Linked DNA regions of Danio rerio. The protein of the gene in region 2 interacts with the protein of the main gene of each other region in a pairwise test. Links are inferred from orthologs where the notes say so. Each region holds a gene or a part of one and is shown on either strand. Other genes may lie near its edges.

Region 1 (4,262 bases), on a different chromosome or scaffold from region 2:
GATTTAATTTTCAAAAATTAAGTTTCTGTGAAATCGAACACCCAGATCTTTGACAGTAAAACTAATACTAACGCTGCATTCTTCTAATTGCAGGTTGATTTATAAACTTTTGGAGTATTACTGTGGGCCCCAACAAAAATGACGAGCGTAGGTACAATGTAGAGCTCAGAATGTAGGCTAAACACACACACACACACACACATTGGGTTTTCTTGGTTTCCCCAAATACTCTAAAACAAATACTGAGCTGTATTAACCCAACAGTTGGGTTAAAAAGGTACCTAAATTGAATTAATAAAATTAAATATTCATTAAATTAAATATTTGACTCAACGGTTACAACAACCCTGCATTTATTATTCAGATATGCACGTGTTTCTAATGTATATCCTGTTCTCTTTAACCCTACACTACCCAACATTCGCAGGAAACAATCTGCACTTTAACATGTACAATATACATAATTCTCTATGATTTATCACTAGGTCCATATGCAATCTGTGTGCGCAGATGTTTAGCCCATCATTAATTCTGTTTATTAACTTGAGTAAATGTGTGTAAATCTATATTTATTCAGATTTTTAATTAATTACAGAAATATTATTGACTAATATGAAAATATCCATATGGTTTATGTACAATGCAGTCTACAGTAATATGTTCTGTATTTTAATAGAGATATTATATGAGAGACTTGCTTTGCTTACCAAATAAAGTGAATCTAATTGAATTTGCATTTTAAACATTAAATACAGGTTAAAAAGATATTATTTAAAAATAATTTTAATATTTTTTTTGTTTCACATATTAAGGTTTACTCCCAAAATAATTTCGGAGAAATCATCATATTTTTACCAAAATTCTCTGCCGAAATAGCAAAAAACATCCGCAGATCGCGTCTGGCCCTGGTTATGACCTTAAATTCATTCAGGTTTAGTTCAGTGTGTATAAACCTGAACACACACACAGACATAATTATCGCACACAGCTCATGAACAAACTCGATGAACTGTAAGCTGCACAATTGTTTAAATGATGTTTATTTGTTTCCAGTTGTGCATATTGGCATGTAAACAGGAACTGCTCTGTAATTGTGCACAGAATGGAGAACAGCGCTGTATCCAGCAGGCGGCAGCGATGAGTGCTTCCCGAGCAGCGCTGAGAAAAGTAATACACACCACGTGACAGCAAGTTTGCCTCAACAGAGGTGATATTATATAGATGTACGACTCATATCTGCTTAACAACGGTGTGGAAACTCATGTGAAAGTGTTTAGGTGAAATCAGACAGCGAGAAAGGCGAAAACATCCGTTTGCTCCGCTGAAGCCCCGCCCAGCAGTGTCCAGCGGCCACGCCCTGCTCCGCATCCCTCCTGACAACAGCAGCAGCAGCATCAGCAGCAGCATCAGCATCCTCCTCCTTCACAACACACATTTAGCACAGGGCAACACAAAAAACGCTGCATTAATAACAGCATCGTCTACTCGACGGGGTTTTCTCTCCAGCATCTTCGGCCGTTTCTCCGAGCAGACGCCATTTGCTCGCTCGACTCCAGACCTGAGCGCTGCCGTCCTCTGCCCCGCTATAAACAGCGCTTCTGCTCTCAGATAAAGCTATAGATATATATATTGTGTTCTGCATCATCATGACGGACGCCGCCGCGGAGTGTAACATTAAAGTGCTCTGCCGCTTTCGGCCGCTGAACCAGGCCGAGATCCTGCGCGGGGACAAATTCCTGCCCACCTTCCAAGGGGACGACACGGTCATCATCGGGGTAAACACAGCATTTCACTCTATATTTCTGTTTATTCGCGTGTGTGAGGGGTGGATTGTGAAGAGATGCTGCTGCAGGTTGTGTTTGTGTCAGTATGACGTCAGCAGATAGAGATGCTGCCGAGGCCTTATGATGAATACAGCAGGCCCTAATCATCATCATCATCATCATCATCATCATCATCATCATCATCACAGGCCTGGAGAATCAGAGGGTGGATCAGTTCATCATTCTAAAGAACATCCACCCTATTTTTCTCATTCAGTTTAAATAAATAATGCATTGTATCCTCTGTTTTGTGCTGGATTAGCTCGCTCTATAGGTATTATAATGTTGCTTTGTGGTGATTCTTACACCTTAATTTAATCAGAAAACACTCTCTGAGATTAATAATCTCTTTAACAGGAGTGTTCAGGTCAGAATGAGCAGGTTACAGACTTTACAGGACACATTAACACATTTAAAACAGTTACACTGAATTTAAATGCTTCTCATTTTGTCTTCTAGTCCAAAAACAAAATCTAGTGAAGCACAAGCTGCTACCTTATTTTGTGCTTTATTAAGAGGTTTAAAAAATGCATTTTATCTTCTAATCAGTGCTGCATTCGCTTGTCTGATAGTATCATCATATAATCTTTTGGAAGCTCCATTATTTGTTTTTGTATATTTATTTAATTTTTCTGTAGTCTAAATATCTAAAAATGCTTAAATCAAGAAGGATTTTCTTGATAAGCAGGAAAAATGGCTCATTTGATCATTTTTTTGCAGTTATTCAGCTTATTTTGTGTTTAATTAAGATGGTTTATCTACTATTTTGTGCTGGATTAGCTTGTCTGATGACATTATAATTGTATGTTTTTTCATTAATTTTAAACCTCAGTTTAATCAGAAAATAATCTGAGATTAATAATGTCTTTAACAGGAGTGTTCAGGTCAGAATGAGCAGGTAACAGACTTTACAGGACACATTTAAAACAGTTACACTGAATTAAAAGGCTTTTCATTTTGTCTTCTAGTCCAAATAATCATATTAAGCAGAAGCTGTGGTTCCTCAAAGCATTCTGATTCACCTTATTTTGTGCTTTCAATTTGTGGTTCATTTGATCATTTTCACAGTTATTAACCCCTTTTTTGTGTTTAAATAAGAGATTTCTGCATTTTATCTTCTACTTTGTTCTGTATTAGCCTGCTACACTGCAAAAAATGCTTTTCTTACTTTATTTTTTTGAAAATCTAAAAGTTCTTAAATCAAGAAGCATTTTCTAGACAAGCAAAACTTATTGTCTTGTTTTAAGAAATAATATGCCAAAATGAAGTGAGTTTTTTCTTAAATCAAGCTAAATAATCTGCCAATGGGGTCAGCAAAATAATCTTATCACAAATCGAAAACAAGACAACGTGTTTTGCTTGTCTAGAAAATGCTTCTTGATTTAAGAATTTGTAGATATTTGGACTAGAAACAAGACAATAATCTTAGTTAGAAAAGCATTTTTTTGCAGTGTAGCTGGTATCATAATGAATGCTTTTTATTTAACCAGAAAAGATTCTCTGAGATTAATAATCGGTTTCTGATCAGAATGAGCAACAAGACTCAGTTTACACATGGCAATAATGCTTTTCCTACTGAGAGTTTGTGTCCTGTTTCTATTCCAAATATCTAAAAATGCTTTAATCAAGAAGCATTTTTAATGAGCAGAAAATATAGTGTTGTTTTTAGCAATAATGAGTCAAAATGAAGAGAGTTTCTCTGTAAAACAAGCAGAATAATCTGCCAACAGGAGGAAGCAGAAACTTTGAAATAGCATTACTTCACTCACCCCTCTAGCAGGCACAGGCTGCCAGCATGACGTCAGATTGATATTGTACGTCATGGGATCATTGCATTTTGTTTGGAAATGAAAATTAATTTGATGTCAGAACCTGACATCAGGCTGATGTTGTGTGGACGTTACCAACATGACGTCTATCAGATGTTGGGTTTTAGTTACCTTACCTGAAGAGTAAATGTCAGTATCTGACGCCAATATGATGTTGATTTAAGATGTTGACTCGAGGTTTGATTTTGGTCACTTTCCAACACAACCTAAAATCAACCAAATATTAATGTCATTTGACGTCATTATTGGAAATGAAAATAACGTTGTCATCAGACGCTGGCTGACATTGATTACTGTTCAGCTGACGTCACAACCTAAATCTAACCTAATATTAACTCATGATGTTGTGTGCCTGCTGGGACAGATAACATTCCTTGTTTAAATGTAAATATCACTGCATTTTGACTCTGAAAAGAAAACTGTTTTTTGCTAGTCTAGAAAATGCTTCTTGATTTACTTGAATTTTTAGATATTTGGTTTAGAAACAAGAAATAAATCTTTAAAAAAATTTTTAAAGATTTAAATTTTATGAGATTAGTGCTTTAAATGTCAAAAATGAAGAAAACATGGTGAGATGTTGCTTGTTTAGAGCTTCTATCAGAAGAAAAAC
Region 2 (3,500 bases):
GCATATAGCAGGCTTGTGTTAAAGCGCTTCAACTTAAATGTTATTCGTTCCTCTTGTTTATGCTGTAGATATGACCAACAAAATATACATCAAAATTAAGTTACACATTATACAAAACGAAATTCGTTACAAAAAGATATATTTCCTTGAAAATGTGTTTATATTTATTTAGTTCGTGCCCGCCTTAAACAACTGCGGGTGAATGATGCTTCGCTCGTTCAGTGAAAAAAATTTATTTAATTAATGATCCACTGCTGTTGTAAACGTCTGTCATATATTTGCTGCATTTATAAGCAAGCATCAAGTGTTCATTGAGATGTGATTGAGATTGTGTCGTCTGTCATGTCTTGCGTCTGTCCTCCCCCGTGGGGGGGGGGGGGGGGGGGGGGAGGGGGGTTCTCGTAGCACGGCTTTCGAAAACAATGAAATGAGACTCTGCTGGGTAGCTGCGCTGGTTTGCCAACACTTGTTAATGTCTGTAATTTCTTAGCATCTTTATAAGGGTGGTCTTGTTTTACATGGTGAAACAGGTCGTGGTGTTGCCTGCATTTGATGACACGAGTCATCTAAGCAGTTTGCGGTGCACGTTGCTCTGTTTTGTGTCGGATAGCGAAAACTAAGTAGCACATGAAGTCTAGTGATGTTTCTTATCAACAATGTCTGTGACTCTGACCTTTTTTACCTTATTTCTTTCTTATTCCTTTCAGTGCAACTAACACTGTATGGCTGTAAACTTGTACGGCGTGTGGCATCCGGAAGGGCAGGCTGCAAAATCCTTGCGCAACGTTACGCATAGTGTGTAAATATTATCGAGCAATTATCGAACTGTCATTATCGTTTTATCGAAAAATTTTATATCGTGATAATTATCGATATCGAATAATCGCCCAGCCCTACTTCAAAGTAAAGTAATTAGTATTCTGATTACTTTTTACATGAAGGAATTAGTAATGTAATTAGATGAGAATTTTCCAGTAGTCAGTAATTTGTAATCTATTACTTTTTTAAAGTAACTTACCCAACACTGCTAAATACATATTAGACTTTTGTTACAATGCTGCTCATACATATTAAAGCGTCCTAAGTTTTATTTTCCCCATTTTCTATTAAACTAAACCAGAAATTGAGGATGTATGAAATCATTAGCATGCTGACACAGGACAAACCTTTGAAACATTTGGGATAATATAAGTTCTTAAGACAGCAAAATATATAACATCGTTCTAGTGATTTTTGGATTCTTTAAAGAAAAAAAATCTTACATTAAGCAATTAACCAGTAGTGACAAATGAAAAACTATATGAGAAACCGGGTAGCGACACTCACCGTTATTAAACACAGCTCTCATCAGTTTGATGTAGGCCTTGTCTAGATCCCCTCGTCGCTCTGCGTTCCGGAAAATAGCCTCAGCCAGCTTTGCGAACTCCTCAAAACCAGTAACAAACGGCAGGATGCCCACTTTACTCTTTTTAGAAATCTTCACCTCTTCCATCTGACGAATCTGGGCTGACTGAGAATGACAGAAACATAAGAAGTTTCAAATGCTGATCTCACATTCATCAATATTCAAGACCTGAGCTCCACTTACAATGCATTTATCAAAGTTTCTCTTGACGGTGACCAACACGTTGCCCAGGGTTGTGCTGAGATATGAGGCGGGATCCACATTTTCTGCTGTCCAGACGTGGTGACTCATCTTCACCAGCATGTAGAGAGAGTTAAAGCTGTCTATTTTATCACCTAAAGCTATAAGACTGTTCAGCTCCGTCTCAATACTCTGAAATATCTTATTCATCATCATCCGAACCATGTCCTTCCTGCAAGAGAAGTGGATGTGTGATTATTTCTTGTTTAAAAACAGATTTGGCTGTCAAATAAATTAGCTGAAGAAAATGGTCACTCACTCAGATATTGAATGTCTGTGTTCACTGACCGGTTTGGAGTGCATCAGTCCATCAGAATCATCCATGTTCTCTCCCTAATCCACATTTATAAGATCATTAAAACACTGTCATAAAGAAATAAAATGCACATGCATATACAGTGGGGAAAATAAATATTTAACGCATCACCATTTTTCTCAGAAAACATATTTCTAAAAAGTGGCATTGACTTGAAATAATTCGGATGTTGGTAACAACCAAAGAAATCCATATATGCAAAAAAAAAAACAAATCTAATTAGTTAACAAATTAGATTATGTATGATAAAATTAAATTATGCAGGTAAAAAGTATTAAACGCATTAAAGAAGGGAGGTGTAGAAAGACAGTGATAGCCCAGTCAGCAGCTGAAATCTCTTGTTCTTCAGCAACCCTCTGCCCTTTCTCATTGTAAATAAATATTAGCTGGCAGCTGCTTCAGTTCAACATCTACATTATCAGGATGATGAAGGTGAAACCAGGGTGGACATTTCAGAAAGACAATGTCCCAAAACACAGCCAAGGAAACTCTTAAATACTTTCAGAGAGAAAAAAAAAAAAATCAAGCTATATAATGGCTCAGCCAATCACTCAATTGAATCCAACAGAAAATACAAAATAAAGATCAGATTTAATAGAAGAGACCCACAGAACCATTAAGATTTTTACGATCTGTTGATGTCTGTAAATTTGTTTTATAAAATCACATCTGAGCAATGCTTGTGACTTCTTTCTCCATATGAGAGGCGTCTTTAAGCTGCCATTACCAAAAGTTTTTTATATGAAGTTACAGTACGTTATACTATACCTGAGCTAGTGTAGGAATTTGCTGCAGCTTGAAGAACTTGCTAATAAAGTCTTGTTCAGCCAGACACAACGGCTCCAGTTCACTCAAAACTTGCTCAAAGATCTGGAACACAAAAACAGAGAAAACACTCAGTATCTCATGCTCACCAAGGCTGCATTTACTTGCTAAAAGTACAGTAAACAGAAATAATGTGAGATGCTATTACAATTTTTAAAATATTTTGATGGAAAAGCTGAATTTTTAGCATTTATTTTTTTAGCATTAATCATACTGATGTTTTTTTTTTTTCAAAAATCATTCAAATATGCTCAATATTGTATTATAATATTGTTTTAAAAAAAGATTTCTCCTTTTTATTAATGCTGAAAACTGTGATAAATGATATTTACAAGAAAAGCACAGAATGTATTTTAATGTGATTTTTGTAACATTATAGATATCTAGAGATTTTATATAGAGATTATATAGACAGACATATAACTCTATATAGACATATAGAGACGCTTTTTAATTGAATGCATATTTTATTTATTATTCATTCATTCATTCATTTTCTTGTCGGCTTAGTCCTTTTATTAATCCGCGGTCGCCACAGCGGAATGAACCGCCGACTTATCCAGCAAGTTTTTACGCAGCGGATGCCCTTCCAGCCACAACCCACCTCTGGGAAACATGCACACACACATTCACATACACTACGGACAATTTAGCCTACCCAATTCACCTGTACTGCATGTCTTTGGACTGTGGGGGAAACCAGAGCACCCGGAG
Region 3 (4,159 bases), on a different chromosome or scaffold from region 2:
GTGTATAAATTGTAGGGTTTAAAGGGATAATTTCCCTTAATTATTTAACTTACCATTTACCTGCCATCAAGTGCTTCCAAACCTTTAAGAGTTTTTTCCTTCTGTTGAACCAAAAATTGAACAAAAAGAAACAAACACAATATATACAGTAATAACTAATGTTGTGTTTAACAGAACAAAGTAAGTCAAACAGATGAATTTGACATTTTGGGTGAAGTATTTCTTTGGAGACGTTCACTATCTAAATGCCACCAGAGACATTTTCAAAGGGACATTTCACTCAAAAAAGCCAAAAAATTCTGTATATTTTTTTCACCAGCAGGCCATTCAAGACATCAACTTGTGAGCCACAGGTTTTGATTCTGTTCAGCCTGTTATTTATTATAATTTTTTTTCATTAAGGACCACGGCTTCAGCTTAAAACCTTTTAAATGGTCTTCTGAAGAAATAATAATTTTAAAAATAAAATAAAATGCATGTATGACTGACGACGCGGTGATGCAGAAGGTAGTGCTGTCGCTTCACTGTAAGAAGGTCGCTGGTTCGAGCCTAAGCTGGGTCAGTTGGCATTTCTGTGTGGAGTTTGCATGTTCTCCCCTTGTTTGCGTAGGTTTCCTCCGGGTGCTCCGGTTTCCCCCACAAGTCCAAAGACATGCGTGACAGGTGAATTGGGTAAACTGAAATTGTCCGTATTATATGTGTGTGAATGAGAGGGTTTCCCAGTGATGGGTTACGGCTGGAAGGGCATTCGCTGTGTAAAACATGTGATAAATTGGCGGTTCAATCCGCTGTGGCGACTCCAGATTAATAAAGGGACTAAGCCGAAAAAAATGAATGAATGAATAAAATACATGCAGTTATAAAATAAATATGGTGTATTTTAATTCAACACCAACTTTGCCACCGAGCCCTCTCCTCCTTTCTTTCTGAGTGAAGTAAGAAACAGGATTCAGGTTTTGCCACAGACACCTGATATTACTGGCACTGTGTTGAAATCCATCCATTAGGCTTTGCCCAGCACTTCACATCTACTATGGTGTGTGTATTAATATCATTGTGTGTATATATGTATATTGATATTAACTTACACAGCCTTTAAAGTAATCTAAATGTTTTCATTTAATTGAAACCAGTTTTGCAATTCATTGACTTAAGCAAAAATATGGAAACTAGGCCCAACACAATCGTATGCCTATATACATGCCTATATAAACAAACTTACAATCCACATCCAATAAGGCAGACAACGTTTGTTTGATATTAAACATAACCATCCTTGCAATTATATAAAACATAATAAACGTTCTACATCACATGTCAACACCGTCATTCAAGTATCGCGCGCGCTCCCGGCAGCTCGTGCACTGTGAATCACGTCCTACGTCACCGAGTCACACTTGCAGCGCGCGTGAGTGAGAGTATGGTCGCTGCTCTCGGTGGGGTTGAGGGAGGTTGTTTGTAGGCGCGGGCCAAAAGCTGAGCGCATGCTTTTTTTTAAACACTAGCGGAAGACCACTAGCTTGCTTTAGCGTCATGAGTAAACCGCTGTTTAGTTCTTTGCTACCGTACGCTTCGCGTTAATTTGGAAGCTGAAGTGAACCGAGCAAGGTGCAGATGAAGAAGAGAGGATGCTGGAATGAGTGACGAAACACAGCAAACATCATGATGGAGTCTCACTTCACCACAGCATCACTGTGTTCCCGCTGCTTTCGCGCTTTAAAGTCGCAGTTTGTAACGCTGAATTTCGATATTTAAGAAGGAGTATTGTTTGCTTTCGTGCTGCTCGTGAAGCCGTTGTTTTGTTTGTGTTGGTAGTTTTAATCGATGCTCTGGAATAATCGCGCTGAGTAAGAGGAAGCCTTTCCTGGTTGATATAATTAACGTGCTTACTGCATAGGGTACATTTCGCTCGTTCATTGTCTACTGTATAATGTTGTATATAAAATAAGTAAGCTGACTACTCGAGCCATGGACTGTGTTAAAATACTAGTTAAAGTTGAACGTGGACTCTTGAGCTTTGACGTTGACATCATGGATAGACGCGGCTGATTTTCATCGAACAGGTGAGTCACATGAGCCAACGTTAATCTAGTGTTTATGTGCACTCTTACAGGGATGGGAGGAGAAGGAATCTATGTTTTAATTCGTGTTCTTTACCTGTTTTACTAACTATTCTGTTAGCATGTTTTCCTAAAAAAAATAATTTGAGTAGAATCAGGGGCGGACTTGATGATTTGGGGGCCCTGAGCAATTCCATGTATAGGGCCCTAGCATTGAAACAAAAAAGATATTTGTTTTCTCTCTAGATAATTTTTAAAAATATATATATTTAAAGTGGAACCTTCTTAAACTTAAAATCTCAATACAATATATTTACAAATAAAAAACAAGCTCACAAACTATGTACAGTTAATTAGCCATACTTACGATTTGTGATTAGATTTTAATATTTGCATGTGCAGTATGATATGGAAGGATTGTTCCACTATTCATGGGACCCGTGGATTTAGAAAAGAAATAATAATGTCAACATTTTAATGGTTTTAGACAAATTTTACAACACATGATAGAAAAATTATAAAATAGCTTCAGAATGATTAATATAGGCTTCTTGGCATTGTTGGCACTGTTTTTCCAGGGCCCTAAGCAATGAAAGAATGACATTGAAGCGTTGTCTGATTGACAAGCAGCAGCTACATGTGTTCAAAAGAATCTAAAACTCTAATTAGGATGAATCTATGCCAATTTTTCTGAAGTAATACAATCTGTATCTAGCTTTTCGCTTGTACGGTGGCTCTGAACTGTTAAAACACCTTTAAAAAAAAGAGGCTTTTTCGGACATGACATATTTGTACACATGCACATCACTGTAACATTTTTTATTCAAGAACATTTGAGCTGGTTTTAGTCCTTAGCTCTTTCATTTTCATTTTGTTTAAAATATATTGAACTTGCTTGTTAATTCATTCCCAATTTGTTATTTAACCTATTTATTTTTATGCAACAGTCAAGTTGCATGTTAATTTGCTATAAAGAAAAGGAAATAATTTTGTTTGTGCATGCTGATTTACGTGAAATCGTGAAAATAGGTCTATATAATCACCTTGCAATTTTGAAATTATTGCTTTTTGCTTTGAGTGTAGACTATTCAGTTCATAAGAGCAGTTCAATCTTTTATGAAGTTTGCTGTTTGCTGCCTATATACATTAGCTATCGGCATCCAAGTCTGAAGAGTTATATCCGCCAAAAAATTTATATATGTGCATCCTTAACCTCACTTATTAGTAAAGTCCACCCCTGTGTAGAATAACATTAAAAATCCAATCACCATTGCGTTAAATGCTCTCAGCACTGTTACAAAATGTAGCACATCACGCAGTTATTTTTAATAATGCTAAAAGAATAAAATAGTTTGCCATTCATTTATGTAAAGTGAGTCAGGTACTTCTCAGACTGATTCACTGCTAGAAGGTCAGAAAATAACCTTATGATTCATTTCTTCCACCTAACGTATTTCGACAGAAATCGTGCCATACTTGTGTATTTATATATGTGTACTTTATTTAAGTACACTTAACAATTACAGTTAAGCATTATATTTAAAAAAAAAACCCATCTAAATATTGGTTAGTAAGTGTTCATTAAAGGGATTGTCAGCCTATTTCTCTAGAATAGCAGTGCAGGAAATAGAGTAATTTATGATGTTCTGCATTTGCAAAAGAAAGCTAATAAGGTAATTTATTGAGTCCAATATTTTACAAATAAATCATTAAATTATATAACAAATTAGGGTTGGGCCGATAAACAATATTTTATCGAATCGCAATAAAATTTATGTCATTAACAATCATAAGCTCTGGACTTTTTTACTCTATATTGATCTAAGACCCAATCACGCAACAGAAATGTGCAACAATGGGAATCTTAAAAGTGTGTTGATATTAGAGGTGTACCGAGTTTTTGGCTGCCAAAAATGTTTTGTTCGAAAAAATGTTATTTAATTGACCCTCTAATTTTTGTGCCTTCAGCCATTCTCGGTTTACTCTTTTACATCTTGAGGCATTAACAACTTATATTGAAATATATATTGTTATTGTTCAATATATCACTAGGGCCAGACAGAATCTCCAGATATTTTTGGCTATTTCTGCTCAGAATA
Region 4 (3,961 bases), on a different chromosome or scaffold from region 2:
ATTAAATGTGTTATTTATCATTAAAAAATTAAACTAATTATAAAATAATAATTATAGTTTTAACTTGTAATACAGTGCCTTTTTATTGCATCACTGTAAGGAAAATCTTAATTGAATACATATTACAAATTATTACTTCTAAACTATAGGTATGCTGTATATAGACAATACATTGTATAGAAAATGCTCTCTTTACACAGATTTCTATTTAATAAAATTGGTTTTGCATAGTCAAGAGTAACCTAAAATTCTCCAATCACTGGTAGCTGAAATGCATTCGTAATTTGCCAGCAAGTTATTTTAATAAATACAAACAAACAAATAAAATAAGCAAATATGCACAAGCAAAAATGCAAAAAAATTGTTACATACTGATACATAATGTTACATTTTGATACTATGCAAAAAAATTGGGTTTCATTTAGCATATTTTGCTAGTTCATAATTAATATACTTTTAATTACGTAAAAAACAATTAAAGTTATACTGTATTCTAAAGCAGTCATGTAATTTACAATTTGTCTGGCAATAAAACTATTACTATTTTTACTGTAATACTTTCAATAAGACATTTACCCTATATTTTATAAAGCCTAATCAGTCGTAATAAGTCATAATTTATAATATTTACTCAATTAAGGCTGCCCTTAATATAGTGAAAAGTGACTGATAAGTTAAAACTATAACTTTAAATATTACATATTAACTATTCATAATAATTAAAAGTATTATTTATCATTTAAAAATTAAAAGATATATAATAAAAGTATAATAGTGTTAAATACGGTCCCTTTTTACAGTATCACTGAGGAGAATCTGAATTAAATACATATCACAAACTATGACTTATAAACTATGCAAACTGTATATAGAAAATGCATTGTATAAAAGAATAAGTTTTTAAATTATTTTTACAATATTGTATTTATGCTACATATAAATTCAGATTACTTGACAAGAGACACGTTTGTCAGTCCAAAAAGTGGCGTAACAATCCCATTTATTTAAAGGTTTCTAACAGCTTTTCACTTGCCAAAAGCATAAGGTCGTCATTGCTCATTAAAATTCGTGCGCGTCAGTAAACCCACTTGTTAAATCCCGATCCGCCACACAAGGGTTAATTTCTGCTGCGCGTTACATAACACACTCGAAACATTAGTCAGATTTGCGTTGTCCTGGCGATGTCAGTGTCCTCAGCCTCTTCTGCTCGAGCACAAACACACACAGACACACACACTGATGCTGTGCTGAATAATCTAGCAGACAGAGGCTGAAAGTCCTTCACATCGCATCAAAACAGCAGCAGAGCGGCGAGAGCGCGCATTGTGTTGTTTTGAGGAGCCACGGGGCCGCGCATCCTTCACTTTCTCTCATTCACTCGCAGGAATCAGCAGCGCATCACGAGGCAAGTGTCTTTACCGTCTGCGTCACACTCTTATTTCCATAATATTATGGATTAAAGGACATATTTTCACAAATATAATGTATATAAACTGTATTATTATAGGTATGGATTAAATGCGTATTCTACTCAACATGTTAACTGAGACAAACCAAACGCGACGCTATTGTTGATTGTTGATTACCGCGTAGCCTATGATTGTTTTATTCATCTTCGTCATTTTAGTTAGCTATTTTATAATTAGTTGTGTATTTATTTTCTTATTTATTCATTTTTAGGCGGGGCAGAGGCGTCACTGCACAGTTGTCAACAAGCTGAACGTCTGTAAGTCAGGTAACTGTCAATCATCTTTGGTTTACTTCATTTTACTCGTCCCTTCGCCTTTGTGGTAAAAGTCTTGTTTTTGAGAGGAAATTCAGTGTGCTGTGAATTCACAGAACGTTCTAAAACACTGTAAAAGTGTGCTGTGCATGCAAAGAGACATTTATGTTTGGTAAAATCTAAACTAATACGTGTTAATATTATTATTATTATTATTATTATTAAAATATATGTCAGTGCATTTTCTGTCAGTGCATTCTGATTTAAGATATATGTCAGTGCATTCTGATTTAAGAACACTTTTTAGTGTATTTTTTTTGTTAGAGAATAATAAAAATGTAATTTAAGTATAATGTTTTTCAACAAACAAAATTAAAATATATTTTTCTTATATAATGTCATAATTTTAATACACCCATCAAAACTTTATTTATTAATATTTATTAATATAAAATATAATATTTTATATATTATTATTTATTGATATTTAGTAATATTTTATGAATTATATATAATTAAGTTAATAATTATATATTATTAAGTCAGAATTATTAGCCACTCTGTTTTTTTCCAGTTTGTGTTTAACAGAGAGAAAAAAAAATAATCAACCCATTTCTAATCATAATAGTTTTAATAACTCATTTCTAATAACTGATTCATTTTATCTCTGCCATGATGACAGTAAATAATATTTTACTAGATATCTTTCACTTCTATACAGCTTAAAGTGATATTTAGAGGCTTAAATCAATCAATGCAAGGATACATTGAATCCTCACTGGAAATATCATTTGAGATAGATATCTGCTGAAATAACTATAGCCATTTAAAAATGCATGGAATGCTGTGAACTGTACACTATTAGAGAAAACAGAAGTAGAGAAAAAAAATGCTAAATTTGGTAGTCATGTACACTGACTAACGCACAACCTCAGCCTGTATTCAGCCATCTTCTTTTGTAGTCAAACTCAAACAGCAACATTGAAACAATGAGCAGAAGATGTACTCACAGCCAGAAGCAAATGCATCTGCACATAACTCTCTGTCTCAATAACATGGAGTCATCACTGATTTAGTGGACTATAAAGACAGAGCTAAAGTAAATGATTCAAACTCTCTCTAGATGCTAACATGAAGAGGACAACCTGAATAGTTAAACGTCTGCATATTAGAACTACAAACGTTAAATACTCTTCAAATTGCTGATTATAGTAGATAGCAATAATGATGACAATAGAGGGTACAGTAATTAGCTAAAAGAGAAGCATACACCGTAAAACTGACTTTCATTACTGTCATGATTTATACGTGAACTCATTCATAATAAAATATGTGAAGTATATTACATAAGCTGTTATGATTCAGCGAATACTCTCTGACTTCCCTCCTGTTTCTCTCCTTCCAGTCATGCCATTTCTAGTCAGTACGCATGAGCTGGCTTTAAAGAGATTGCATCAGTAACTTCTAACTCAGTCAGGCTGAAACTAGTCTCAGCTTTTCTATTAGGCTGACAAGACAGAGTAAAAACACTTAAGCTTCTTGTTTTGACACAAGATATCAATCTAGGACAGAATGGCTGACTAGTGTCCCTGGCTTCTTTAAATGGTGTTTGTTCCTCTGCATTGCCAGGTCTTAAGTCTGTTGTTTGGTACTGTCGTTAAGAGTTGATTTGGACTCCAAGAGAGAATAGGCTTGCTCCCATGAGTGGCAATTGCATAGCAAACTGATTAAGTGGACCAACAAATTAAATCAAGCAAGCAGGTCGCTGGTTTGAGTCCTAGCTGGATGGCATTTCTGTATGGAGTTTGCATGTTCTCCCTGTATTCATATGGGTTTCCTCCAGGTGCTACAGTTTCCCCCACAGTCAAAAGACATGCAGTATAGTTTCTTAAATTTCAAAACACTGGCATTTTTATTTTATTTATGACTTATTTATTTATTAAATATATTTTTATTCAACTTCAGATTTTTAAATGTCTAACATTTTCACAGACCCCCTAGGACTCTCCCCTAGACCCCTGGTTGTCACCGGACTTCTATTTTAAAAAAATTATAAACATTATATTGTCTTTTTCTTCCATTTAATCAAAGAAAATTATTTCATTCAAAGCCAGATAATGACATTTGTAAATGTCAGTGCAGTGTTTTATTTCTGGATGAATCTTTTTTAAATAATTAGGGGAAACTGTTTACAGACTAAGCTTCATTTTGTAAATGAATCAGCCATTTGAACTAATC
Region 5 (3,053 bases), on a different chromosome or scaffold from region 2:
TTTTTTGCATTGTAAATCTGATCAAATAAAATAAAGAAACTGCTGTCAGGCTGCTACGAAGAGTCATTATATACATACTGTACGTAAACACACATACTAATACATAGATACCATGATACAGACCCAGAGGCGAGTAATGACCTAGGGAGAATTATTTTTCTTGTTATTTTTTCTTTTTTTTTTACACACGGGCCATGAAGAAATAATGTGCTTTCTTGACATTCCTCATTTTTAGATACTTGTTTCCAGTTATAATCACGATTATTAGACTTATACAAAACAACACCCTTTTTTTATGTGCCCGATGATATTATAATAGTAGAATAAAATGACATCTCAGACTGTTAATGAATTCAGAAGTGCTTTGGAGCAATTACGGAATATCGATGATAAATCCAATGGTTTGGGAAGTCGCGTTCATCATGCAAAAAATCTTGTGGATCTTCATGCAAACGTGTTTATTTGTCACGTTTATGGTTTGGTTGGCTAAAAAGAGTGCCAGTGTAGGTTATAAGGTGAATTATGAAGTATAACTAGTGATTATTGGATTTGTAGAATCTGACGGATTGGATCGACTCAGAAATGTCATTGCATTTGAGTGGCGGATTTATATCAGGAGGAAAAAAAAATGTGTTTCCATTCAACCTGCTTCAATTTGCACTAAAGTCTGAGGTGAAAATGTCTCCTCGAATAGTTCTTTGACCTCAAAAAAAGTCTTTTCCCATTAAAACGAGTCTGTACAGACAGAAAAGAACTCCAAAGCTCTAAACTGGGATTAGAAAAGAAGATCCGGCTGATGTCCGAGTCTCAGTCCAAACTAACAACTGCTGAAAAATCATCCTGTGTGTATTAAACACTTACTCGCTCACTCAAATCTAAACTATCCTGTTGTTTTTTTGCTGGGAAACCCTCAGACGGGGCAGGATTTGTCGGTGGGTGGTGGTGGAGGTGGTGGTGTTGGTGGGATGGTGGTGGTTGGAGATCCCATAGCCGGACTTCCTCCGGCTGAACTGCTTTTGGGGAACACCACAGGCTTGGGTCTGGTGGCTGGAGGTTTGTTATCTCTGAATGTGGAGCCAGAAGCGGTGGTCATGGAGGACAGAGGGCTCTTGGGGCCTGTGGTTTTGCTGGGTCGGAAAGTGGAGGGCATGTCGCTGGCTGAACTGGCGCTGCGCTGCAGAGGATGCTGAGAGGATTCAGCTTCGCGGAGCAGGCGGGAATGGAGAGGGCTGGATGGTTCAGATGTCCCGCCACTTTTGAGCTGCTCCAGTGTGTCGAGAACCACGTCTGGAGCATGTTTGACGTTGCTCTGCCTCTCAAGCTCTCGCAGCTCACTCAGAGCCGTGTTCATAGTGGCCTCGATGTCCTGCAGAAAGAAAACAAATAAAATACAATGTAAATATCTTTACCTAAAACCAACTACTACCTTGCTATTAATAATCAGCCAATTAGCCGTTTATTGAGCTAAAAGACTTAGTTAATAGTTTGTTAATAGCATGAATTGTAAACTAAAATTAAAATGAAGTGTGACTGACAATGTTTATTAGATTGAATTGTTTCTCATAAAGTTTTGTAATGAAAAGCATAAAAAAATTCCATTACACTTATATTCTTATTTATTCAGATTTTTTTGGTTTTACATTTATGTAAAAAATAATCAGAACCAAGAAAGTTTTGATAGTATTCTTATTTTCTTTTTGCTTATTTATTGTTTTTATCTAAAGATTATTTGTAAGACAGCAGAAGAAAATATGTCTGTACTCTCATACATACAGTATAGTCAAAATTAAATTATCTTAAAGGACGTTTATATACTGCATGTTGTTTGCAATATTATTGTATATATTCATTAGTTTATAATCTGGCATTTTAAAGAAAAAAAGCACCATATATTTGTAGTTTTAACCTATATAAATATTTGAATATAACTAAATTCCATAACCTACTTATTAATATAATATAATATAATATAATATAATATAATATAATATAATATAATATAATATAATATAATATAATATAATATAATATAATAATAAATTAATAATTTTAATAATTTAATAATTTAATAAATGTTTTAATTTGTAATAATCTAAGACACATACAATATTAAATGCTTGAATTATATGTAATTAACTGTGTGTGTGTGTGTGTGTGTGTGTGTGTGTGTGTGTGTGTGTGTGTGTGTATATATATATATATATAAGTGTATCTTTGTTGTTGTTGTTTTTTTCAAACTACGAAAGCCACAGTAAAAGGAGTAAAAAGTTCACTTCACTTCTTTTTAAAAAGACACCATCTATTGCTAAATGTTTTCGCTAAGGTCAGACCTTGTAGGCTTTCAACAACAAATCTATAAGATGTCCACATGTCTACAATGACTAAACCACAGAAACTCACACTCAATTTCCAGCAGCCGGGATAGATGGAGCAGCTCTGTCCAACCGTGAAATTACAGCTCAAAGAAAGACAAATACTGTAGAACTCTCTAAAACACACAAGCTCCTCTGGAGACCTCAGCACTTTTTCAGAGAGGAAAGCAGGCTCTCAAGTTGACCTGTGTGTCTACAGTATTTATTAGGGGCCTAAGCACAAGCTGTGTTCCAAGAAACACAAAATTTGGCAGGATGGTTCCAAATTTCCAATATTATCTAAATGCAGACTTGGATTTGCAAGCTGAGACTGACACTTAATGTAGCTAGTGATGTCACTGTAAGGGGTAGGATTAGGGGTGATCATTACAAGCATTACATGCAGCTATGTTTACAACTGCACCGAGTCTGGAGTTTTGGCTCATACCATTTTGAGAAATTTTACATTTGCTCAACCATTTTGAACTGTTTTATAAAATTTTTTCCAACCACCTCCAACTCACACCTGCTTGAAGCTGCAGTCACATTAGAGTTTGAGCGTGCGATATTCTGTCGTGCAGCGCTGCAAAAAGGGGCAGGGTTAAACAAGCTTATTAGACATTTAAAAAAGCAAGTGATTGCTCCATGTTTTAAATTTCTGTCCAGAGATGTCATGTTTTGATCCTTGATTGGTCTCACGCA
Region 6 (3,500 bases), on a different chromosome or scaffold from region 2:
GACATGCTACGGCACATTTCTACATAGTTTCCATTCGTGTGTATAGTCGCCTGTATTTTCGTACAGACGGTCTCAGATGTTGGAGTCAGTAAATGTGTGTGTGTTTCTCTGTGTGTGTGTGTGTGTGTGTGGCTCTGAATGCCCTCTTGAACCGGTCATCAGCTGTTTCCTGCTGTTTAACAATCCTCCATCACCGCAGACAGACCTGCATTACATAACCCTGATTTCTAGCCGGCTGACAGCGCTCAAAAAATCATGTTGGCTGCTTGTTCAAACTACTCATTTAATTTGAGCTGAAACAACACATTTCTTAAGGTATAATAAAACAAACCATGCAGCTTGGATGGATTATGTGTGCTGATCTGACCTGTCGCGCTGCTCTTCTGGCCTCCCAGTATGGTTTTGATTCTTCCACAGCTTTGCCGATCTTCTTCACCTGCTCGTCCAGCTTGACCGTTGCCTCCACCAGCACAGCACGAAACTTCTGCCGGGAGTCCTGAACAACCAGAAGCATATTTTGGAGTTGGTAAATATAAAAATCTATCCTCAAAACCACCAGTAAATGATTCAGTGATTAAATTAATCTGCTCCATTAATCATTCACAATCCTGAATATACAGTTGAAGTCAGAATTAGTTTAACGGAGAGATTTTTTCAACACAATAGTTTCATTAACTCATTTCTAATAACTGATTTATTTTATCTTTGCCATGATGACAGTAAATAATAGACTTAAAGACACTTCTATACAGCTTAAAGTGACATTTAAAGGCTTAACTAGGTTAATTAGGTTAACTAGGCAGGTTAGGGTAATTAGGCAAGTCATTGTATAGCGATGGTTTGTTCAGTAGACTATCGAAAACAAATATAGCTTAAAGAGGCTAATAATATTGACCTTTAAAAAATTTTAAAATGCTTTTATTCTAGCCGAAATAAAACAAATAAGACTTTCTCACGAAGAAAAAATGTTATCAGACATACTGTGAAGATGTCCTTGCTCTGTTAAACATTCATTCATTCATTTTCTTGTCGGCTTAGTCTCTTTATTAATCCGGCGTCGCCACAGTGGAATGAACCGCCAACTTATCCAGCAAGTTTTTACACAGCGGATGCCCTTCCAGCTGCAACCCATCTCTGGGAAACATCCACACACATTCACATACACACACACTCATACACTACGGACAATTTAGCCTATCCAATTCACCTGTACCGCATGTCTGTGGACTGTGGGGGAAACCAGAGCACCTGGAGGAAACCCACGCGAAGGTAGGGAGGACATGCAAACTCCACACAGAAACGCCAACTGAGCCGAGGTTTGAACCAGTGACCTTCTTGCTGTGAGGCGACAGCACTACCTACTGCGCCACTGCCTCGCCTCTGTTAAACATCATTTGGGAAATATTAAAAAAAAAAATTCAAAGGGGTCTAATAATTCTGACTTCAGCTGTAAATGTAAAGTGCATTTTTTGTCTGGAGTAAGCATCATTGAGCCATGCTCTCTGAGGTCAATCATAGTATTCAGATGCATTATGGATAATAAATTCAGCTGCATGCAGTATTACATAAAAGCCACCGACAGCTGAGTTGTCTTGTCTTTGTGTTGCAAAGTGGTCAGGAGCGAGTTACTGTACATTGAGTCTGACTGAATCCCAGTGCACTGATAGGCTCATCATATCCAGGCAGCATGAACTGTACGCTCAGGAATCTCAGAATTATGTGCGTCCATCTTTCAGTTTCACAGCAATGAAACGCTTTGATAATCCGCCCTTTGTTGCTCTCTGAAAAGCGCTGCTTCAGCTAACTCAATTCAGCCTTTAACAGAGTTAAGAAAGAATCTGCAAGCCGCTTTCTAGACACAAACTCCTCCTCAGCACAAGCAAAGAGTGGTGTTTATTGCATTAAAGGAGTTTGATTCACGTGTCTATCGGGTTCAGTCGGTGATGAATCTGTTGTCGGGTGGGTTTGGTTGTTCTGATGATAAATATAAAAACACTGACATCTACATCCTTCCACACAGGACCTCAGTGAGAACATGCACGCCACAGGGATTTAGACTTCCTCTGACAGACTGACACTTCCTGGTTCAGTCCTGACCATCACATACAGTGTAATGTGGGTGAGCATTCCTAATATTTCTTAATAAATAATAATAAGTGAGGAGGGAGAAATAGCCATGAATCTGATATTAGGCTTTGAAGATGACCTATTATGTCCCTATTTACAAGATGTAAAATAAGTATCAGATGTCCCTAGAGTGTTCCAGCTCAAAATCCTTGCTCTGTTAAACATCATTTGTGAAATATGAAAGGGGGGCTAATATTTCTGACTTCAACTGTGTGTATGTATATATATATATATATAATTTTTTTTTTTTTTTTTTTAAGGGCGTAACGATACGCATATTTGTATTGAACCGTTCGGTACGAGACTTTCGGTTCGGTACACATTACAAACCGAACGATTCAATTCAGACTAACATCTAAAATCCATGTTAAACAGTAGACCATCGCTTTTGAACTCAGAATATCACTTTATTAAAGCATGCACCCATTAGCAATCTTGCTAGCTTCTGTGTCAGCCTGGCTGCTCGTGCTGGCTTTGCCCCTGTTGCCCCAGTAACCCTGGACCCCCGACACAAAAGAGCCAACCTCCAAACACTACTCCAGGCACTCGCTACGCTAGCTCGCAAAATGACGAGTAACGTTAATGTAATCCCAGACATCCCAAGTCTCCCGGAAGCTTTGGGAGACTCCTGGATGCCCGCACACGAAGGATAATCTTCACGAAATTGTGCATCTCATCGCGACTCATCCTTCTGAAAATAAAAAAATACTTCAAAATTAATTGAAACTGAGTTCCATATGCAATCTAAATTGTTATTTTCTTTTTATTTGTTGAACTGCTACAATATTATATTTATTTTTTGTAAGTGGCTTTTTGGTTTTGAGTATAAAGAAGGATTTGTTTTATTTGCTGCTAAGCAAAAACCCCGGAAGTAAAGCTCTAATACTGTTTAAAGTAAAAGAAAAAAAACAGGCTCATAGTTTTTATGATGTTAGTTTTAATACATTGAAAAATTTAATCGAGAGAAACAATCTGGCTTTTTTCTTTTTTTGCTGTATCGAAAACGTTCCGAACCGTGACACCACTGTATCAAATCGAACATTTTTGTGAACAGTAACACCCCTAATATATATATATACACACACATACATACATACATACATATAATATATATATATATATATATATATATATATATATATATATATATATATATATATATATATATAGGGCTTAGTCCCTTTATTAATCCGGGGTCGCCACAGAAGAATGAACCACCAACTTATCCAGCATGTTTTTATGAAGCGGATGCCCTTCCAGCCGCAACCCATCTCTGGGAAACATATGTATATATATGACTATTTTTCAGCGTGAGTTTTAGTTTTGTTTTATTTCAAAAAACATTTAATGTTAGAACAATAACCCTGATATAA
Region 7 (3,500 bases), about 750 kb from region 2:
GTAACTTTACAGATTGTTTACTAGCACAAAAAGCCTATATAATAAAATAAAGGTTAAATAAAAAAATCATATTAACTCAGTGTCTAGCGTGTGTTCTAATCAGTTATTTCTTTAACTCCCAAACCACATGCCAGTGCTCTTTGAGTGAAGGCCACCTCCCAGCATTAAACACTTCCTCAAGGTGGCAGGGTGTGTTTCTTTCCATCTGACACCAGACAGGGTGTGTGCATGCATCAGTGGTCATAATAGACTTCAAGAGAAACGACTCTTTTGAAAAAAGAAGACAAGAGTCATTTCTGAACTCAACCGTATCATCCACAAAATGCAAAACTCTGCAAATTTCTATCCCTTTGACACGAACACAAAAACAGAATCCTGGCACATTTCTTGCACATTAATGTACATTAAAAACCCACTCAGTGTAAGCATACATGAATTTATTTTAGTTTAAACCAAAACTGTGATCATTAAGGTGAATGAAGAGGCAGTACAACTGGTCAAGTTAATTATTCTGAAAGGAAAAAGCTATTTTAGTGGCACTAAATTGGCTTTTAATGGTTTTTAAAATTGAAATGGTTTCTTAGTGTTACAATGCAAAAGAGTAATTGAAATGTTGGCGCTTTGTGAAGGTTTATCGCTTTACAGGCTGAAATGAGGCAGGCTTGAAGCAATTTAGCTGCAGCTTCATACTGCTCTTAAACTTATTCAGTAGCTCCTCCAAGAGTCTGAGAAAAGAGAAAGAGATACATGTAGAAAAGAGATATTAAAAAACACTCTGGTAAACACAAAATACTCAATTCTAAGTAATGTTCCAGGATAAAACCAAAATTGATTTGTGTAGACGTATGATCTGATTCTACTGATGCACTACTGGCTGGTTTAAAATCAAGCGTAATTTGTAATCTTCAGTTTTGGCTAAATGTAAAGATGTGTTGGCCCAGCCAACCTGACAGTTATCATTTTAACTTGCCCTTGCATTTTCACTACCCCTCCACAAATGTTATTATTTAAAAATAAACATAACCACTTGAAATTTTGAGGTCACGAGGATTGAGTTCAGAAAAAACACATTAAATTGATAGTAATAATGGTTATAATGTTTAAAAAAACGTCAAATGCTGTACTTGTAAACTCTCTTATTGATCAAAAGATACAGTAACATTTAATCAGAGAATTTCCAGAAAAAATAAGCAGCAAAACCATTTTCAACTTTTGATTTCTAGAGCACCAATCTGCATAATAAAGTCATTCCTAAATTATCACAATTAAATGGTTTTAATAATCATCATCCCCATTTCTAATAATCTCTAATAGCAGTTAGTATTAAATATTAAATAGTTTTGTGTTATCAGTGTCAAGGTTTCAGTCATGTTTGTAACTATACTGAAGTGTAACTTACTTTTTGTCAGCTCCACTCTGTAGCTGTGGAAGCGCTTCCAATGCCTGCTTAAAACTAGTGCTGAGACACAAATGAAAAGATCATGAGCATTAACATACTAACAGTTTTCACCTTTTCTGTTTAAATTTCTCATTGCAGTCGCATGTCTTACCAGCTCTCTGATGAGAGATAGGGCTCTATAGCATCTCGCAAAGCACAGATCTCCAGACGCGCCTCGAGAGAGTAATATAAAAAGGGTAATGTCAATTTTAGTATTTTCAGATCAAATGCTTATTGTGTATGTGAAGGATGCTACCATACCTGCAAGGCACCATTTTTACTAAAAGAAGACACACACTGCATGAGGCGACTCATTTCTTCTGCTACAGCCTCGATGATCTTTGAAAGAACACGAGAAACCAGCTCCTTGGAAACTGTGAAAACCTGGGCAAAAACAGAAGAATACAGAAAATCTATGTTGACCTATGCTACAAATAAATGAAGAATTAGTTACATAATAGAGTATTTTAAAATTAAAAATGTATTTTAATTTGTACTTCTGCAGCTTAGTGAGCAAAACTTTACTTTTTAAAAAAAAAATGTTGAACTGTGGTGTACATTTACAGTTGATTTATATGCTTTTTTTATGCCAAGTCTGATGAAATAATTTTCCAGAAAGCATAGTTTGCATATCCTTTAAATGCTGTAAACAGCTCTCTAGAGTTTTGAATAGAACATGTGCCTTTTTTCTGGAGTAAGGTCTAAAAAGTCATCTTTTACAGAAGGGTTTGTTCTCTCACCTCAGCATGAACAGAGATGATGCTGACCAAAGCCTCCTTCAAATAACTCCTCACGCCTGAGTCAGAAAGAGAGAAAAAAAAATGGGAAAAGGTTGATCAATGAGTTAATTCATTTAGGACATACAGAGAAGCTTCATGTTTGTGCATGTTTCATGTATATTAATTACTTAATTTCAATATTAATAAACTGATCTGGAGAAATGAAGACACTGGCTGATGAGTTCTAGGCTTAGTGGAAGTGTACCGTTCACCACTTACATAAAAAAGTCAATCCATCCATCCATCCACTTCATTATGTACACCTGTCCAACTGCTTGTTAAAACAAATTTCTTTAAACATGTCATGGTTGTTGGTGCTAGATGGGCTGGTCTAAGTATTTCAGAAACTGCAGATCTACTAGGATTTTCACGCACAACCATCTCTAGGGTTTACAGAGAATTGTCAGAAAAAGGGAAAAATATCCAGTGTGCAGCAGTTCTGTTGCCTCAAATGCCTTGTTGATGCCAGAGGTCAGAGGAGAATGGCCAGACTGGTTTGAGCTGATAGAAAGGCAACAGTAACTTAAATAACCTCTCGTCACTACCGAGGTATGCAGAAGAGCATCTCTAAATGCACAACGCGTCCAACCTTGAGGCAGGTGGGCTACAGCAGCAGAAGACCACACTAGGTGCCCCTCCTGTCAGTTAAGAACAGGAAACTTACATTTGCACAGGCTCACCAAAATTGGACAATAGAAGATTGGAAAAACGTTGCCTAACGAGTCTTGATTTCTGCTGCAGCATTAGATGGTAGGGTCATAATTTGGCATCAACAACATGAAAGCATGGATCCGTCCTGCCTTGTATCAACGGTTCAGGCTGGTGGTGTAATGGTGTAAGGATACTTTCTTGGGACACTTTGGACCCATTAGTACCAATTGAGCATTGTGTCACTGCCACAGCCTACCTGAGTATTGTTGCTGACCATGTCCGTCCCTTTATGACCACAGTTTACTCATCTTCTGATGGCTACTTCCAGCAGAATAATACGAAATGTCATAAAGCACGAATCATTTTACACTGGTTTCTTGTACATGACAAAACGTTCACTATACTCAAATGGCCTTCACAGTCACCAGATCTCAATCCAATAGAGCACCTTTGGGATGTGATGGAATTGGAGATTCATATCATAGATGTGCAGAAGGCAAAACTGCAGCAACTGCGTGGTGCTATCATGTCAAAATGGACCAAAATCTCTGAGGAATATATCAAGTACATTATTGAATCTATGCCACGAAGGATTAAGGCAGTTCTGAAGGCAAAAGGGGCTCCAACATGGT

Evidence for each region.
Region 1: the proteins of exoc1 (region 2) and kif5aa interact in a two-hybrid assay, tested with the Homo sapiens proteins (2 studies listed by BioGRID and IntAct). The link is inferred for Danio rerio from reciprocal best matches to the Homo sapiens genes EXOC1 and KIF5A.
Region 3: the proteins of exoc1 (region 2) and ccser2a interact in a two-hybrid assay, tested with the Homo sapiens proteins (2 studies listed by BioGRID and IntAct). The link is inferred for Danio rerio from reciprocal best matches to the Homo sapiens genes EXOC1 and CCSER2.
Region 4: the proteins of exoc1 (region 2) and sybu interact in a two-hybrid assay, tested with the Homo sapiens proteins (2 studies listed by BioGRID and IntAct). The link is inferred for Danio rerio from reciprocal best matches to the Homo sapiens genes EXOC1 and SYBU.
Region 5: the proteins of exoc1 (region 2) and srgap2 interact in a two-hybrid assay, tested with the Homo sapiens proteins (2 studies listed by BioGRID and IntAct). The link is inferred for Danio rerio from reciprocal best matches to the Homo sapiens genes EXOC1 and SRGAP2.
Region 6: the proteins of exoc1 (region 2) and sh3bp5a interact in a two-hybrid assay, tested with the Homo sapiens proteins (2 studies listed by BioGRID and IntAct). The link is inferred for Danio rerio from reciprocal best matches to the Homo sapiens genes EXOC1 and SH3BP5.
Region 7: the proteins of exoc1 (region 2) and exoc2 interact in binary tests that used the Homo sapiens proteins (3 or more experiments, as listed by UniProt). The link is inferred for Danio rerio from reciprocal best matches to the Homo sapiens genes EXOC1 and EXOC2.

What each region holds. Positions count from the first base shown.
Region 1 is NC_133184.1:250,127-254,388, reverse strand, and holds the start of kif5aa (kinesin family member 5Aa), read left to right. Parts: upstream 1-1,462; 5' UTR 1,463-1,646; coding exon 1,647-1,775; intron 1,776-4,262. UniProt on the Homo sapiens protein: Microtubule-dependent motor required for slow axonal transport of neurofilament proteins (NFH, NFM and NFL). Can induce formation of neurite-like membrane protrusions in non-neuronal cells in a ZFYVE27-dependent manner.
Region 2 is NC_133195.1:28,542,360-28,545,859, forward strand, and holds part of exoc1 (exocyst complex component 1), read right to left. Parts: intron 2,832-3,500; coding exon 2,730-2,831; intron 1,979-2,729; coding exon 1,905-1,978; intron 1,818-1,904; coding exon 1,589-1,817; intron 1,511-1,588; coding exon 1,327-1,510; intron 1-1,326.
Region 3 is NC_133192.1:28,006,502-28,010,660, reverse strand, and holds the start of ccser2a (serine-rich coiled-coil domain-containing protein 2), read left to right. Parts: upstream 1-1,359; 5' UTR 1,360-2,063; intron 2,064-4,159. UniProt on the Homo sapiens protein: Microtubule-binding protein which might play a role in microtubule bundling.
Region 4 is NC_133191.1:43,563,962-43,567,922, forward strand, and holds the start of sybu (syntabulin), read left to right. Parts: upstream 1-1,161; 5' UTR 1,162-1,405; intron 1,406-1,680; 5' UTR 1,681-1,735; intron 1,736-3,961. UniProt on the Homo sapiens protein: Part of a kinesin motor-adapter complex that is critical for the anterograde axonal transport of active zone components and contributes to activity-dependent presynaptic assembly during neuronal development.
Region 5 is NC_133186.1:23,504,428-23,507,480, forward strand, and holds part of srgap2 (SLIT-ROBO Rho GTPase-activating protein 2), read right to left. Parts: intron 1,367-3,053; coding exon 911-1,366; 3' UTR 1-910. UniProt on the Homo sapiens protein: Postsynaptic RAC1 GTPase activating protein (GAP) that plays a key role in neuronal morphogenesis and migration mainly during development of the cerebral cortex. Regulates excitatory and inhibitory synapse maturation and density in cortical pyramidal neurons.
Region 6 is NC_133194.1:2,328,163-2,331,662, reverse strand, and holds part of sh3bp5a (SH3 domain-binding protein 5), read right to left. Parts: intron 2,120-3,500; exon of another isoform or gene 2,021-2,119; intron 527-2,020; exon of another isoform or gene 497-526; coding exon 368-496; exon of another isoform or gene 210-367; intron 1-209. UniProt on the Homo sapiens protein: Functions as a guanine nucleotide exchange factor (GEF) with specificity for RAB11A and RAB25. Inhibits the auto- and transphosphorylation activity of BTK. Plays a negative regulatory role in BTK-related cytoplasmic signaling in B-cells.
Region 7 is NC_133195.1:29,287,910-29,291,409, forward strand, and holds the end of exoc2 (exocyst complex component 2), read right to left. Parts: intron 2,235-3,500; coding exon 2,179-2,234; intron 1,823-2,178; coding exon 1,700-1,822; intron 1,613-1,699; coding exon 1,551-1,612; intron 1,460-1,550; coding exon 1,400-1,459; intron 726-1,399; coding exon 632-725; 3' UTR 423-631; downstream 1-422. UniProt on the Homo sapiens protein: Component of the exocyst complex involved in the docking of exocytic vesicles with fusion sites on the plasma membrane.